Macaca mulatta: one gene and its partner. The protein of the gene in region 1 purifies or fractionates together with the protein of each later gene. This does not show direct contact. Links are inferred from orthologs where the notes say so. Each region holds a gene or a part of one and is shown on either strand. Other genes may lie near its edges. The genes, in order: COX6B1 and CHCHD4.

Region 1 (8,732 bases):
ATGAGAGTATATCTGCTGTGTCCCCTTAAAGAGAAGACTCAGACTCCGAAAAGGGCTTGCTGTGCTGTGTGTCCTCCCAGTGCAAGGGATCGTCAAGGAATTAAAACTAGTGCTTGCACCCCAACACCACTCACCATTTCCCCACTCCAAGCTTGACACAGGACTCAGACCAACACTCTAAAGACAGCCTACACCATTCTGAGAGCCACTGAGCTCCTAAAGAGAGCCTGCTGTGTGGTCGTCCTGTGGGCGATGCTGGGGATAGAGCAGGGACGAAGACAGCCGTGGACCCTACCCTCAGGGAGCTCACAGTCCAGTGGGAAGACAGACCCATCACCAGAATGTTTTGAGCTGGGATGAGAAGACTCCAGGGGATCGAGGGGGCCAAAAGGAGAGACCTGACCTAGCCCAGGAGGAGAAGGGTCAGGGGAGACGCCCTGGAGGAGGAGACAGCTGATTTGAGAAGTCAGGTAGGCAAAGAATGTTTCAGGCAGAAGGAACAAGATCAAAGGTCCAGAGGTGGACGATCTCATACCACTGCTCAAAACTATCAATGTGGGCCAGGCATAGTGGCTCACACCTGTAAACTCATTAATTTGGGAGGCTGAGGCAGGAGGACGGCTTGAGGCCAGGATTTCCAGACCAGCCTGAGCAACATAAGGGAGACCCCCATCTCTGTTAAAAAAAAAAAAAAAATTTAAAAATAAATGTGGCTACAGCAGCAACAGGGACCAATTCATAAAGGATCTGTGGGCCATGGTGAGGAGCCCAGACTTTGTCTCCAGGGCTCCTGAGGAGCCATCGAGGGTTTTGTTTGTTTTTAGAGATGGAGTCTCACTCTGTCACTCTGGCTGGAGTGCAGTGATGCAATCTCAGGTTACTGCAACCTCCGACTCCCAGGTTCAAGCAATTCTCCTGCCTCAACCTCCCAAATAGCGGGAATTACAGGCGCGCACCACCACACACAGCTAATTTTTGTATTTTTAGTAAAGATGGGGTTTTCACCATGTTGGCCAGGCTGGTCTGGAACTCCTGACCTCAGGTGATCCGCTTGCCTTGGCCTCCCAAAGTGCTGGGATTATAGGAGTGAGCCACCATGCCTGGCCCCCATCAAGGTGTTTTAAGCAGGGAGAGGGATTTGGGTTTTAGGAAGACCTCATTGCAGGGGATGAATACATGCATGTAAACAGGTAATTCCACAAATAACCACAATGTTGATGGACACAGAATGTGTAAGAAGAGGTCCGTAACCCAGTTCCATCTGGACACTGCACCTCAGATGGTGTGGGAGAAGCTTTAGAGGCCAGACAGGGGAGGAAGGAAAGCAGTTCTCTTTCATAGCTCCCTCTCCTAGTCCCCAAATGCTTCCTTCAGTTCCACAAGAAATTCTTGCATTCAGCAAATATTTATAGAGTACTTCCTGTGTACCAGGCACTGCTTTAGATACAATGGTGAATAAGGCAGACAAAAATTCTTCCTTTATGATGATTCTTTTCTATTGAGGGAGGCAAAAAGAGGTAAACATAATTTAAAAGAACAGATATAGCCGGGAGCGGTGGCTCACGCCTGTAATCCCAGCACTTTGGAAGGCCAAGGCGGGCAGATCACCTGAGGTCAAAAGTTCAAGACCAGCCTGACCAACATGGAGAAACCCCATCTCTACTAAAAATACAAAATTAGCCAGGTGTGGTGGCGCATGCCTGTAATCCCAGTGATTCGGGAGGCTGAGGCAGAAGAATCGCTCTAGCCTGGGAGGTGGAGGTTGCAGTGAGCCAAGATCGCACCACTGCACTCCAGTCTGGGCAACATGAATGAAACTCTGTCTAAAAAAGGACAAATTGGCCAGGTGGGGTGGCTCACGCCTGTAATCCCAGCATTTTGGGAGGCCGAGGTGGGCAGATCACCTGTTCAAGACCGAGGTCAGGAGTTCAAGACCAACCTGACCAACATGGTGAAATCCCTCTCTACCAAAATCACAAAAATTAGCTGGGAGTGGTGGCGTGCACTTGTAATTGCAACTACTCGGGAGGCTGAGGCAGGAGAATCACTTGAACCCAGGAGGAGGAGGTTGTAGTGAGCCAAGATAGTACCACTGCACTCCATCCTGGGCGACAGAGTGAGACTGAGTTTCAAGAAGGAGAGGAGAGGAGAGGGGAGAGAAGGGGAGGGGAGGAGAGGAGAGAAGGGCCAAATTGTGTAGATCATTTATAAGGACATTGGCTTTAGACTAGAAGTCAGACCCGTGTTCCTCTGGCTGGGTGGACATACTGCAGAGGGCAGCTGGAAGCCAGGAGACCAGGGAGTGGGCTGCTGCAATAGTCCAGTCTGAAGGTGATGGTGGCTTAAACCAAATGTGCTAGAGGAAGATTATGGATATAGTTACAGGCAGAACCAACGGGATTTCTTGATAGGTCAGCTCTCAGGTGTGAGAGAAAGATCGGAAACAAGGACAACTCTGTGGCCAGAGGACAGAGTTAGCCATTTTCCCAAATGGAATCCTTTCTGCCAGACCCTTCATAGATCCAAGCTTTAACTCCTAACCCCACCTGCCTGGGATGCAAGACTGGTTCTTGAGCTCTTGGCCACTCAAATCTTTGTTAATCTGTGCTTTCAGAGGTTTGGGAAAAGATGGTAACCAGCAGGGAGGTAAAATCTGGGCATTCCTAATACCCTGACGAGTGACACCTAGGGAGAGATTGGTTCGTTTTCAATCCCCTAACAATTGGCGCTCTAATTATTTAATATTATAAGGGTAGGGATTTCTGTGTTTTGTGCAGCGTGCTTTCTCAACCCTTATAGAAGTGCCTGATGGCCGAATACAGTGGGTCACGCCGGTAATCCTCACGCTTTGGAAGGCCGAGGCGGGAGGATCGCTTGAGACCAGGAGTTCGAATCCAGCCTGGGTAACATAGCAAGACCCCATCTCTACAAAATGCATATATATGGATCCAGGAGTAGTGGCGCGCACCTGTAATCCTAGCTACTCGGAAGGCTGGGGCGGGAGACTCGCTTGAACCCAGGTGGTGGAGGTTGCAGTGAGCTGAGATCGCGCCACTGCTCTTCAGCCTGGGCGACAGAGCGAGACCATAGAGTAAGACCCTGTCTCAAAAAATTTAAAAAGGGCCGGTCGCGGTGGCTCACGCCTGTAATCCCAGCATTTTGGGAGGCCGAGGCGGGCGGATCACGAGGTCAGGAGATGGAGACCACGGTGAAGCCCCGTCTCCACTAAAAATACAAAAAATTAGCCGGGCGCGGTGGCGGGCGCCTGTAGTCCCAGCTACTCGGAAGGCTGAGGCAGGGGAATGGCGTGAACCCGGGAGGCGGAGCTTGCAGTGAGCCGAGATCGCGCCACTGCACTCCAGCCTGGGCGACAGAGCGAGACTCCGTCTCAAAAAATAAAAAAAATTAAAAAAATAAAAGAAAAAACATTTTTAAAGAAAAGAAATAACCGACACAGAAAAAGCGTTCAATAAATATTTCTTGCATGAATAAAAGTAGTTTCTCTGGGACATTTTTACCCGCACCCACCCTCCAGCCAGCCCAGGGATCTATAACGCTCCCTCGGACAAGACCCGGTAACCACAGGCGCCCGAGCCCCAGCCGCGCAAGCTCACGATTGGGCCAGAAGTGATGATGAACAAGCATTCAACTCAATAGAAAGTCGTAGTTCTCTTGCTGGGCGTGGCTTGAATGGCTTCGGTTGCCTCCTCCTGCGAGGGAGCTCTAGCCTCTGGAAAGACTCCTCCAGTCCCCACCTCGCTCAGCTTCCGGCTGGTCATAGTTCCGCTTCCTGTCCGATTCTGGTATCTTTGCTGAGGGTGACATTGAGCTGCAAGTTGCATCTGGGGTGCCTTTAGGTGAGTGTGGAGGGTTCTGGAACCTGGGACCCCAGTCTAGCGGGCCGAGGAGCCGGACCCCAGCTTCCCTGAGAACGGGTTGAGGCTTCCGGCTGGCGGCGTCCGGCCTCCCTGCGCCCCGGGGCCCTGTTCTGTTCATCGTAAGGTCTAACAATGATACGGTTCTTCCTTGATGCCGGGCAACGTCCCAAACAACTTTAATTCATTTAACTCTCTCAGCAGCCCTGTGAGAGAGGGCCTGCGATTATCCCCTTTTGTCAGTAAACAGGCTCAGAGATACCAAGCGACCTAGCTGAGCCTACACAGCGAGCAGGATTTGACCCAGGAGTTTGTCCTCCAGGGCTCTTCACGGCCAATTCACAGGCGTGGCCTCCCGCGGCTTGCCTGGGCCGCAGCCTGGCTCCCGGGTGTCCAGTCCATCCTCCCTTTTGGACGGTGGAGGGGCTGCAGCGTCATTTCCGATGCACCCTCATCCTCAGATACCGGGTCGAGATCTCGCCGCTAACGATCCTACCGATTGCGTCTGTGCCCCAGCAGCTGGTGTTTTACACCCCACCTCCCCACCGAAAGACTGTTTTAGTGCTCCGGACCCCCACCACCACCTTGCGTCGCTTGAATCTGACACTGCTCTGCAAGTCTCTGTATAGCCCCACGACTCCTAGGATTCACTGGAATATAGTAGACACTTTCTCTCAGGTTCCTGACGAACACTGTCATTTCTTCAGAGACATTATATTAAAGGTTTTTAACCCTGAGTCCGCAGGGTTGGTAGAATTCAAGGAATGCTAGTACTTGAATTGGGGTGGGGGGTGGAATTACATCTGTGTTTTTACTAACCTTTTGAGGTAACAGCCTCGGTCGTACTAGCAGCAGCTGTGATTTTGTTAGCAATCAAAATCATATATATTCCTTTTTTTATTTTTTTCTCCTTTTTTGAGACAGGGTCTCTGTGTCACCCAGGCTGGCGTGCAGTGGAGAAATCTCGGCTCACTGCAACCTCTGCTTCCCTGCGCAAGCGATCCTACCTCAGTAGCTGGAACCACAGGCATGTGCCACCACACCTGGCTAATTTTAATTTAATTTAATTTTATTTTTTGAGACAAGGTCTTGCCTCCCGAGTAGCTGGAATTACAGGTACATGCCACCACCCCAGCTAATTTTTTGTATTTTTAGTAGAGTCAGGGTTTTACCATGTTAGCCAGGCTGGTCTCGAACTCTTGACCTGAGGCGATCTGCCCACCTCGGCCTCCCAAAGTGCTGGTATTACAGGCGTGAGCCACCGCTCCCGGCCAATTTTAATATTTTTTTGTAGAGATGAGATGGGGTTTCACCATGTTGCCCAGGATGGTCTTGAACTCTTGGGCTCAAGCGATCCTCCCACCTCAGTGTCCCAAAGTGCTGTGATTACAGGTGTGAGCCACCGTGCCCCACCCAAAATCACAGATATTCTTATATCACATTATAACTGCAAATGTCACAAAGTACTATATTCATTTATGATTACTTCAAAATTGTATTTTTTTTTTTTTGAGACAATGTTTTTCTCTGTTGCCCAGGTTGCAGTGCACTGGCACAATCTCGGCTCACTGCAACCTCCGCCTCCTGGGTTCAAGCGATTCTCTTGCCTCAACATCCAGAGTAGCTGGGATTGAACCCAGGTGGTGGAGGTTGCAGTGAGCTGAGGTCGCACCACTGCTCTCCACGCGAGCTAATTTTTGTATTTTTAGTAGAGACAGGATTTCACCATGTTGGCCAGGCTGGTCTTGAACTCCTGACCTCAGGTGATCCACCCCCCCCCCCCCCCCGGCCTCACAAAGTGCTAGGATTACAGGCGTGAGCCACTGCACCCGGCAAAAATTGTATTCCTTAATGAATCCTCAGCTGGATATAACTGGTTTTCTTTGTGATGCTGTGCAGGTTTTTTTCTCTTCTTCGTGTACTCATGGAACCTATGCAATTTTTAAATACATTTAAACATATTCAGGCTGGATTTTGTGGCTCCCTCCTGTAATCTCAACATTTTGAGAGGCCAAGCCAGACGGATCATTTGAGATCAGGAGTTCGAGACCAGTCTGACCAACATGGTAAAAACCTTGTTTCTACTGAAAATACAAAAAAATTAGCAGGGCATGGTGGCGGGTGCCTGTAATCTCAGCTGTTCGGGAGGCTGAAGCAACAGAATTGCTTGAACCTGGGAGGCGGAGGTTCGTGAGCCTAGATGGTACCACTGCCCTCCAGCCTGGGTGACAGAGCAAGACTCTGTCTCAAAAAAAGAAAAAAAAAAATTCAGCGAGAGGTTTATGGGATTCATCAGACTGCTGAGGAGTTTGTGGCACCAAAAAGATTAAGAATCTTTGCAGTGTAGATTATGCCAACAACGGAGGCAGCCCACCATTTATATTTATGCTGTTTAACCTTAGAAAGTCACTTAGACACCCTGTTCCTTCCTCGTCTGGGCAATGGTGATAGTAATAATTCCTACCTTTTAGAGTAAAGTAGGAGTAATGTGTGTAGAACAGCACCTGGCATGTAGTAAGCACTCAGTGAGTGTTAGCTCATGTTATTTGGGGACCAGGCTTGATTTTGCTGAGGAGTTGTACCCCAACCCTGCCGTGACCGCCACATTCAGATATGTGAATTCGCCTTGCCCCTCATCTCTGTGTATGTTGAGAGGCAGGAACTTGTCCACACTCAGCCCATTCTTCTGTGCCTGCCCTCTTCCATTGATCCTGGGTAGTCTGGCTTGCTGAGGGGCCCTGGGGCCCCTGTCAACACCCACTCCTTTCGCCTCCAGGATTCAGCACCATGGCGGAAGAAGACATTGAGACCAAAATCAAGAACTACAAGACTGCCCCTTTTGACAGCCGCTTCCCCAACCAGAACCAGACCAGGAACTGCTGGCAGAACTACCTGGGTAAGCAGGACCTTTCCCTGGCCACATACCTCGAGTCACTCACCGCTTGCCTCTTCCTAGAGGACTCATCCACCCCAGCGTCCTCCCTTTTGTTCTGAACATCCTTACTCTGGAAGGCCCATACCTCTCATCACCTGCTGTTCAGGTCCAGGCCAGGGTTATAAACTTTAGTTCCTGCAATGATTTTTTTTTTTAATTTAAATTTTTTATTATTATTATGTTTTGTTGTTGTTGTTGTTGTTGTTTTCCGGAGATGGGGTCTCACTGTCACCTAGGCTGGAGTGCAGTGGTGCAGTCATAGCTCACTGCAGCCTCAACCTCCTGGGCTCAAGAGGTCCTCCTACCTCAGCCTCTCGAGTAGCTGGGACCACAGGCCCACACTACTGCACTTGGCTAATTTTTTTGTAGAGAAGAGGTCTCGCTTTGTTGCCCAGGCTGGTCTCAAACTCTTGGCTTCATGTAATCTTCCTGCCTTAGCTTCCCAAAGTGTTGGGATTATAGTTGTGAGCCACTGTGCCTGGCCCCTACAATGATTTTTTTTTTTAAGCTGTATGTGTGTGTGTAGTGTAACATGTACAGAAAGCACATAACAAACATATACAGCTAAATGAATAATTCTAAAGTGAACCCCTTGTGCAACCATAACCTGGATAGAAAAGCAGACGTTGCCCACACTCTTATCTCCCCACCTTCTTTCTTTCTTTCTTTCTTTCTTTATTTATTTATTTTGTTTTTTCGAGATGGAGTTTCACTCTTGTTGCCCAGGCTGGAGTGCAATGGAGCGATCTTGGCTCACTGCAACCTCTGCCTCCTAGGTTCAAGCGATTCTCCTGCCTCAGCCTCCCTAGTAGCTAGAATTACAGGCATGTGCCACCATGCCCGGCTAATTTTGTTTTTTTAGTAGAGATGGGGTTTCTCCATGTTGGCCAGGCTGGTGTCGAACTCCTAACCTCAGGTGATCCGCCCACCTCAGCCTCCCAAAGTGCTGGGATTACAGGCATGAGCCACCGCGCCCGGCCCCTGCCTTCTTTATGTCCTGTCTGGAACACAACACCCTGCTCTCCCCAGTAGAGAAGTGACCCCACTAACTGGGGGTGATCACATCTTTGTTTTTGTTTTTGTTTTTTTTTTTTTTGAGACGGAGTCTCGCTCTGCCGCCCAGGCTGGAGTGCAGTGGCCGGATCTCAGCTCACTGCAAGCTCCGCCTCCCGGGTTCCCGCCATTCTCCTGCCTCAGCCTCCCCAGTAGCTGGGACTACAGGCGCCCGCCACCTCGCCCGGCTAGTTTTTTGTATTTTTTAGTAGAGACGGGGTTTCACCATGTTAGCCAGGATGGTCTCGATCTCCTGACCTCGTGATCCGCCCGTCTCGGCCTCCCAAAGTGCTGGGATTACAGGCTTGAGCCACCGCGCCCGGCCTGTTTGTTTGTTTTTGAGACTGAGTTTTTTGCTCTTGTTGCCCAGGCTGGAGTGCAATGTCACAATCTTGGCTCACTGCAACCTCCCCCGCCTCCTGGGTTCAAGCGATTCTCTTGTCTCAGCCTCATGAGTAGCTGGGATTACAGGCACCCACCACCATGCCCAGCTAATTTTTTGTGTTTTTTGTTTTTAGTAAAGACGAGGTTTCACCATGTTGATCAGGCTGGTCTTGAACTCCTGACCTCAGGTGATCCACCCGCCTCGGCCTCCCAAAGTGTTGGAATTACTGGCGTGAGCCACTGCACAAGGCCTCACATCTTTGTTTTACCACCATGTTTTTTATTTTATTTTATTGTATATATGTTATGTATATTATGTTATTTTGTTATGTTATTGATGGAGTTTCTTTCTCGTTGCCCAGGCTGGAGTGCAGTGGCACGATCTCAACTCTCTGCAACCTCTGCCTCCCGGGTTCAAGTGATTCTCCTGCCTCAACCTCCTGAGTAGCTGGGATTACAGGCGCCCGCCACCACACCCAGCTAAT
Region 2 (8,732 bases), on another chromosome or scaffold:
TGCAGGCAGCAACAGGAAAAGGAGGCGTGGCTTCCTCTTGGGCGTCCCCTCAGCCAGCATCAAGATAAGGGGCTCAAAGACAGCCTTGGAGGGAAGGAAGAGAGGTACAGGAGGGTGCCCCTCAGGCTAGGGGAGGGATGAGGTAGGCAGTGACATGACATACCCAGCCCACATTCTGAACCAAAATTCCCAGTAAACATGGAGGATCATAAAGGATCTATATATACACACATATTTATATATACATATATATTACATGTATACACACAAATGTAAACACACACACACACAGACATCCCCAGTGACACATCCCCTCCCAGTCCCAGCACTCAGGACTCAGAAGAAATGAGCAATGAGTGGTGGGAACAGAGGCTGACACATAAGCCCTGGAAATGAACAGAACTGGGTTCGATGCCCAGGTTCACCAATCACTTGCTGTGAAGCCTGGGTAAATTGCTCTACCTCTCTGATTCTGTTTACTCACTTATAAAGTAGAGAGGGGAATAGTACCTTCACCATCGGTACTGCTGCTGCTATACTGATTGAGAATTCTGTTGCCTCCCTACTCCATCCCACTATCTTCTTCCTCACCCAGCCTAGTGGCTGCTGTAAATGTATACCCAGCTACTGGATGAATCAACAAATGCTTGGCAGCAGAGGATACTCAAATGCATGTATGTTCCTTGGTGAGGGGCCAGGTCTCAATGTACCCAAGACGATCTCTATTCACTGGGACCATCTGTGCTCCCCTCTGCAATGACAGGCTAGTTTTCAAGTATTAGGTACCTACGACACACCAGGCACTGTGCTAAGCAGTCTCCCTTAAATGTCACAGTAACTGATCCATGAGGCTACATAAACCTGGAGAGATGAAAGCCACACATCTACTGGGTGGAAGAATCTGGATTGCCCCCAGGTCTCCCTAACTCCAAAGCCTGCCCTTTGCAGCATGCCAAGCTGGCCACAAGAGTTTGGGCAGGTGCCTTCCCCTGCTGGGGAAGTTCACCATCTGTAAAATATGGTGGTGGTGGTGATGGGAGCAGACAGAGTCCACATACTACAAACAGGCTGGTCTCCTGTCTGCCCTCTCTCCTGGCCGAGCCTGAGTCTCTCGGAATACCTCTGAGGCCTTTCTAGGTACACCATTCAAGGCTTCTAACCCTCCTGTGGGCCCAAAGTGTCCTGGGAGTGTAGATGATACTAACCCGAGACAGAGTGTACTAGGACTGTGGGTGATGCACACCCTGGCCTCTCAAGGGGTGTGGGAGGCAGAGAGGACGCTTGGGGACAGAGGCGGCGTCTGGAAATAGGGTGTGACAGGCAAGGGGAGAGCTGCTAGGACACTCTACCAAAGCAGGAGGGAGGGTGTGTCTGGGGCTGGCTGGGCTCCTAAGCAGGCCCTAGAAGCACTTTCACAGAGGAGGGGAGAAGTGAGTCACCAGCTTCTCCCACATCCAGCGCCCTGGTAGGAGGCGCTGCTTGGTGTGCTGAATGAATGTTGGGCTTAAATAGTTTCCCGAGAAAGGCTAGTTGCAGGGAGAAGAGGCCTTGAAGGAACAGCCCTCAGCCAGGCCTTCTCCAACCAAATCCTTGCTAGGAGGAGGAGGGGCCCCGACAGTAGAGAAATGCTCCCTCTCCCCCTAACTCCTTCGCTCCCAGCCCAGCCTAAGCTTTTTGCAGCATCACAGCCTCGGTTTACACAGCCTCCCTAGAGCGGGGAGCTCTCTGCCCGCCTGGACAGCCCTATCCGTCCATTGCTGGACAGCTCCACTTGGGCTGGGTCGCCTTCCTCCCTCCCAAGGGAATGGCCCCCTCTCTGAGCTCCCGTCCAGCTCTCATAATGCGCAACCTTGGGACGGCTTCAGGGCCCCAAGATACAGGAGGGAACTAGGAATGCAAGGAGGAGCCGCGGAGAGGCGTACAAGCAGATCGTAGTGCGGGAGCAACACCTCCGAGTCCGCCTCCGCACGAACGCCGAGGACTAGGCGGACCAAAGAACACGGACAAAAGAAGTCTGGACGGTTCGAGAGATTAACAGAGGGATGAGCTGGCGAAGGCACCGACACGGCGCGCAGAGGGAGATGCGGGCCCAGCCGCAGGGAGGAGCTCCAGACGGCGAAACGGACCCAGAGGGCCCCGGGGAAGAGCCCCAGGGCGACGGAGAAGCCTGGGTGTGGCCCGGCTGGCCAGGGGACACTCACATTCGCGGCCATGGTGGGACCCGGCTCGCTGCCGCCGCCTCGCGCTGTTCAGCTAGGAAGTGGGCTGACGACTGGAGCGCGGAGTCCAGCGGCCTCTTGCCAGCCCCAGCTTCGAAAATCCGCGTGGACTCCAAGACCAGGCGGGACTTACTGCAGTTACCGCCCCGTGTGCCCAGTGTTTCTGCGCATGCGCACGGCGAGACCTGGAAACGGGTCAGGGACATTACAGTACCTCATTGATGCGCCTGCGCACTGCAAAGCTTTCTGGGAAATGTAGTTTCTACTGCCTGGCGAGCTGCTGTGGGGCTCGCGACCTGCTGGGAAATGTAGTTTCCGGCTGAGGTGGGCCTGGCCGCGGTTAAGAGGGCGCCGAGGCAGGCGCGCGGCGGGCAGGCCTGGAGGGGGCGGGTCCGCGCGGGCTTCGGAGGCGCCCGCCCTGCCTGAGGAGAGGAGGTCACGGCGTAAAGCTGCAGCTACCGCCACTGCCGCTTCTGCAAGGTCTCAGGGACGGGCTGCAGCCATGTCCTATTGCCGGCAGGAAGGTAGGGAGGGCGGGCTGCCATGGAGACCGGCCTACGAGGGCCTGCGGGAGACACGCGGGCCCCGGCGCCCCGCTACCACGCCGCAGGCGCGGGCCACCCGAGGCGCGGCCCGGTTGCCCACCCTGGGACACTCGGAGGCGGGCAGGCTGGGGGGTCGCCACTCGTGTTTTGCGAATGAGAAAACCGAAGCTCTCGGGGGAACGGGACTGGTCCAAGGTCACAGTGAAGCCCGAACCCTGACCTCAGAGGGGCCTGTGCGTGGGAAGTCGTAAACTAGGCCGGGTTGGGGCACGGGAAATGCCGAGCACGTTGCGTGTGGCTCGTAACTGGGAATGTATGTTAATTATTACTACCGCTCCTGCCATACCCCACGTGTTGCCATTTTGCACGCGCCTTTAAAAGGCGGGTCCCGAAAAGTTGCTACTGGGGGTAGCGTGTGCTGTGCTGGGGTGCTAGGAGTTGTGCTAGGAGTTCTACTAACGGGAATGTTTTTGAGCCCCCTGCTACCTATCAGGCACTGTTCAAGGAAACTTACGTGGCTTGTCTCATTGATCTCGCTGCGCCCTTTGTAAGTCAGACTCTGTTACTGGTCACATTTTACTGAAGAGTAAAGTCTGACACAGGAGACTTGGCTAAAGCCACTCAGCCAGCAAATCGTGGAACCGGGGTTTGAGCCTGGGCATTGTGACCCCAGAACAGCCTTTTCCAATCTAGTGCCCAGTGGATTGCAGGGAGAACCCTGCCTACCTCCCACCCCAAAGTTGAGCTCCAACCACCTAATGCTTCCTTGATGTTACTCTACCCAAGAGCTCAGAAGTACCCAAGCCACAGGTCGGAGGGCCTCCCCACACACTGCCACAAACTGACTCCTTGGCCCTAAGCTCCTACCTAACCCCTCCAGGCCCTGGTTTCCAGTGTTGTAAAATGAGATGTTGGGCTTCACTGATACAGCAAATATTCATGAAGCATCTTCTCTGCTCCAGAGAAGGGGGATGGATGGTTATAAAGCTACAGAGAGAGTTGGAAGTCACCCAGAAATTCTTTGGTGAATACTCCAGCTCCATCAGTTAATTCAAGCAATCTGAAGCCCAGAGAAGGAGGTGGCCTACCTTAGTTACACATCCAGTTAGGAGCATAGCTCAGCCTAAAATGCTGAGCCTTTTCCCTAGTAGCCCTGTCTGCTTCTAGAACCTCTCCTCCTCTGGGTTGTAAAGCCATAAGACTCACTCTTTAATGAGTACTATTATATTTCCGCTGATTACTACTTAATGTGTGCCGTAAGCAAAAGTCCTCTGCCCTCACCACTGTTGTTTTTAATTTCAAGTCTCTCTCTAATTTACTTCATTTAGCAAATAATTTTTGAGCCTTTGGGTATAATGAGGCTGTGCTGATAAACAAAACCCTCCTTCTCTTTGAGGATTTACAGGAGGCAGTTTTCTCTGGAAAGGGAGGCTAGGTCCATCTGCCTTCAAAACATGGAGCCCTTGGCTGGGCGCGGTGGCTCAAGCCTGTAATCCCAGCACTTTGGGAGGCCGAGACGGGCGGATCACGAGGTCAGGAGATCAAGACCATCCTGGCTAACACCGTGAAACCCCGTCTCTACTAAAAATACAAAAAACTAGCCGGGCGAGGTGGCGGGCGCCTGTAGTCCCAGCTACTCCGGAGGCTGAGGCAGGAGAATGGCATAAACCCGGGAGGCGGAGCTTGCAGTGAGCTGAGATCCGGCCACTGCACTCCAGCCCGGGCTACAGAGCAAGACTCCGTCTCAAAAAAAAAAAAAAAAACATGGAGCCCTTATCTTTTCCTGGTTCAAAGATCTCTCTTAGGAGATGAGTGAGAATTGAAAGCACTCACTTATAGGCCTTCCTTAGTATTTTTCTTATCCATACCACTGTCCCCCTAAGAAGTCCCTAACATTTTTTTTTTTTTTTTTTTTTTGCTCACTGATCCTTTATGCTTCCCATAGGATTTTTAAAAAAAATGATCCCAAACTCCTTACCGTATCAGAGCTTATGTGATCTGGCCCTGTCTGCCTTTCCAGCCTGGTCTCTTCCCACCTTTTTGTTGCCCAGCCTCTAACCTCTTCGCTATACCCTTGGTTTGGTAGATCCTGCCTTCACCTCTTCCATGGCTGACTCCTCATCCTTTAAAATTTAGCCTCCTGACCCTTTGTGTCTTTCACATCCTGAACTCTCTGAAATTACCTTTTTTATTTTTTGCCATCTTCCTGCCTGTCTTCTCCCACTAAGCTGAGAGCATCAGATGGGCTGTGGAATCCCCAGCATCTGGCACAGGGCCTGGTGTACAATGGGTGCCCAAATCTTTATTGAATCATGCGTGTACCTGCCCTCTGTCCTGAGTGAATCACTTGCCTGTGCAAGTTTATTTCAGGGGTCCACCTGCTACCCAGCCTTCAGGTTAAACTCCTTGGTTTGGCATTCGAGGGCTCTCATCCTGGCTCCCTGGCCTTGGGCTAGCCACACTTCTGTGTGTCAGCACCATAGTGTTTCTTTCTTAGTTTCCTCTTTCTAATGCAGAGCCTGCCCACTCGTGTTTAGTCAACATTTATAAAGCACATGTGACGTGCCAGCCATTGGGCATATAGTGGTGAGCAATGTGACACATTCTCTGCCTTCCTGGCATGGTGGAAGAGATTGCCATTAAAACATCACCAGACCAATGCATGATTACAGACTGTCATAAGTGACATGAAGGGAAAGCCCAGCATGCTATGATCATTTAGTGAACGGCTCTGTGGGGTCTGAGAAGGCTTCCTGAGGCTTCAGAGATCCTTTTAAATGCCAGTTTTCTTAAGAAAACCTTTTGCAGTCCTCAATGTGTGTGAGCGAACACTACTTAAAACCCTCCTTTTGCACTCCAGGCTTTGCCCAGGATGGTCCCTTCTGGAATGTCTATTCCCTCCTTCCCTCCCTGAAGTTCTTTGTCAGGGACAAAGGTAGGATCCCTCCCCTTCCGTCTTCTCCACTGGATGCCTGTGTCGTATTCATCTGTGACCACCAGGTACTACCACAGAGCTGGAGCTAAGGAAGGTTTGTTGAGCTAAACTTCTAACACTTGCATTCTTCTTACACTCTGTCTGAAAGCTATTTGTGTGTTCTTCACAGATACTTGATTCTGTACGCGGGAGTTATATCTTTCAAAGGGGTTAGATTCTAAACATGAAAGTCCTCAGCAGTCAGATTTATCAAACTCTTAGAAACCCCTTACTTTACTCACTCAAAATATACCACAGGCACCACTCCCTCTGGCTTTAGATCTCTTTCTTGGGTTGAGTGTCAGAAAGTAGTGGTTGGAATTGTATCACAGGTGTATTGAATCAGCTTAGCCAAAAATGAAAGAAGACAAGTCCGTAGTGCAGGTTGCCATTCTCAAACATGATCCTGGTGAGTCAGCATCCATGGGAGACAAGAAACTGCTTCCTCTGCAGGACACACGGGCATTCCTTCTGGAGTGGATATGCTGAGAGATTCTTGCCTGTAAAGATCTTCCCCTTTCATGGGGGAAATCAAACTACTCATCCAAGGGATTTTTTGGTCTTGCTCACTTAATGGTGATAACCATTCTGTCTTCCTGCTTTCTGCTGGGACTGGGTGACAGAGCAGGAGTAGCGTCATCTCGGACAAACACTGGCACTTTAAGTTCCAGCTCCCTTTCTAGCCTCATGCATTTCAAGGAAATCACTTCTAACTACAAGCAGCCAGGAAGAGCAGACAGTAAAACACAGATAAGACACCTCGGTCATAGAGGGAGGTGGGGGAAAGTCTCTTGGGTAACTGCCAAACTTCACCCTCATACAGTGGACCCCAGTAAAACTGTGGGCCTTAATAAGAACATTCCTTTCCCTTCAGGTGCACTAAGATAGGGAAGCTAAAAGCAGTCCTGGGGGGGATATGCCTGCAGCTGCAGAAAGATGTGTGGAAACAGACATACAACTCTGCCTCCCAGATGAGCACAATAAAGAGACACAGAAGCAGTCCAAGCCTCTGATAAACTCTCTCACCCTGAATCCTTAAAAACTCTTAGTCTGTAAGAGAATGTGGCTCTGACCTAACTCAGCCAGCAGCCCACCTCAGGTTTGTTTAAAATAAACCTGTCCCTGTTGACTGAAAAGCCACCGTTCGTGTTTCTCTCCTCTTTCTTTAATTCTTACACTAGGGTCTTCATGCCGTAATCCAGAGTTGTTTCTCCATTCACTTTTTTCAACAAAGATTGAACACCCACTTTGTCATTGGCACTATTCTGGGCTCTCAGGATACTGCAATGAACAGAATAGACAAAAATCGCTGCCTCTGAGGAGCTGACATTCCAGTGGGGGCATCAAGTGGTAAACATACATAGTATGTTGGGTGAAGAAAAGCACTTTGGAGAAAGATAAAAAAGCAGGATAAGGGAGATGGGCAGTGGTCAGGGACGGTGGCATGTGAGCAGGAAGTGAAAGCAGGGAGAAATCGCTGTGAGGGTACCTGAGGGAAGGGAAAGTGCTCGTGGAGGACAGAATACCCTGTGCAAAAGCCAGAGGTAGGCATGTGCTCAGCATGTTCAAGTAAAAGCAGAGGTCAGCATGGCTGGAGTGGAGGGAATGATGGTGGGAGATGGGGTCCAAGAGGTGAGAGATGCAGCTCTTTCTGGATATATTTGAAGATCGAGCCATTCTAATATGCTGATGGAGATGTGAGAGAAAGACGGGTTGGGGTGGCTCTACCAAAAGTAAAACTAAACAGCTGAGGGTGGAAGGTGTCTTGGTATCCGACTGCTCAGTCAGTTCTGTTCTCAGCCCCACCCTGAAGTCCTGTTCACAGAGTAACCCCTCGGGCCTCCAGTTCCCCACTCTGACCAAGGTTCTGGGGTGGGGACTGAGTTGATTCTGGGGGACCTCCTCCTTGTGCACTTTGGGTTCAGCTTTCTTCACTGGTTAAGTCAGAGAGCACTCGACCATCAACTCTCCCATTTCCAAGATATTATTGACATCTCTGAGCCTGTGATTGTCTCTTTTCCTGGCCACGTACCCTTTAAAACTTACTGTTGAGTGGGATTCTAGCTAACAGCAGAAACACATTTCACCTCCCCAACCATGTGAGGTAGGTCAGTGAAGCTGGTGGTAAGGCCTGGTTTCTGAGGCCCAGAGGGTACCTGAGCTCACACAGTGGGAAGTGCTTAAGTCCAGCTTTGAACTCCAGTTCTCAGACTCTCTGTGATATTGAAGCCACTGTGAGCCAGAAGGTTTAACATAGTTATCCACCTCCTTCAGAACATGCATATTCAACTGCTTTTAAAGCTTATCTTAGAAATAAAAACACAAGCACTTTTAATTTTATTTTTCTGGAGAAATTGCTGAGAAATGTCATAAGAACTACTTGTCTAGCTGATTGTCCCACTGGTTGGCATCTTATGACTAGTCTGACCAGTTCTTTCTTTCACACTTAGATTTGTTAGGAATAGGTAAGCCTTGTCCTTGCATCGGTTCTTGAATTGAGTTTTAAATGTTCCAGAAAGCAGAGGCCCTCCAGGACAGGCATGCAATGGACAGTTTGCAGGAGACACACTCTGGATCTTTCAGACCAGAGTTCCTGTTCTGCCTTCATTTACTGCATGTCTTTTGGTCCGTTTCTCAGCTCCTGTGGTTTCTGTAAAATGGAGATAAAGTAATACCCACCAGTGAACTCACAGATATAATAAAACACATTGCATGGGACAAAAATGTATAAAAGATGCAGCTATTACTGTTCTACCTTCAATCCAGTGTGAACTGTGCTGCAAGGGAAAATGTCCAGGAAGGCACATGTGAGGACTTGGCCCAGTGGTAGGGACCTGGAATTCTCAGTGGGATTGTGCTAGGCTGGTGTTTCCTAACCTGGCTGTGTATCAGTCACCTGTGAAGCCCGTGAGCTACATGGATGTGGCAGAGAGCTCGATTCAGCTTTTCTTGGGTGAGGCCTGGTCTCTCTATGTATGGCAAACCCCAGGAAGG

The links.
Region 2: the proteins of COX6B1 (region 1) and CHCHD4 purify together in Homo sapiens (co-immunoprecipitation; 3 studies listed by BioGRID and IntAct, with this or other methods). This does not show direct contact. The link is inferred for Macaca mulatta from reciprocal best matches to the Homo sapiens genes COX6B1 and CHCHD4.

Annotation. Positions count from the first base shown.
Region 1 is NC_133424.1:46,907,288-46,916,019, forward strand, and holds the start of COX6B1 (cytochrome c oxidase subunit 6B1), read left to right. Parts: upstream 1-3,798; 5' UTR 3,799-3,857; intron 3,858-4,795; exon of another isoform or gene 4,796-4,902; intron 4,903-6,651; 5' UTR 6,652-6,662; coding exon 6,663-6,771; intron 6,772-8,732. UniProt on the Homo sapiens protein: Component of the cytochrome c oxidase, the last enzyme in the mitochondrial electron transport chain which drives oxidative phosphorylation.
Region 2 is NC_133407.1:152,921,497-152,930,228, reverse strand, and holds the start of CHCHD4 (mitochondrial intermembrane space import and assembly protein 40), read left to right. Parts: upstream 1-2,639; 5' UTR 2,640-2,721; coding exon 2,722-2,743; intron 2,744-5,624; exon of another isoform or gene 5,625-5,732; coding exon of another isoform or gene 5,733-5,793; intron 5,794-8,732. Other genes in the region: TMEM43 (transmembrane protein 43), read right to left, coding at 2,202-2,213.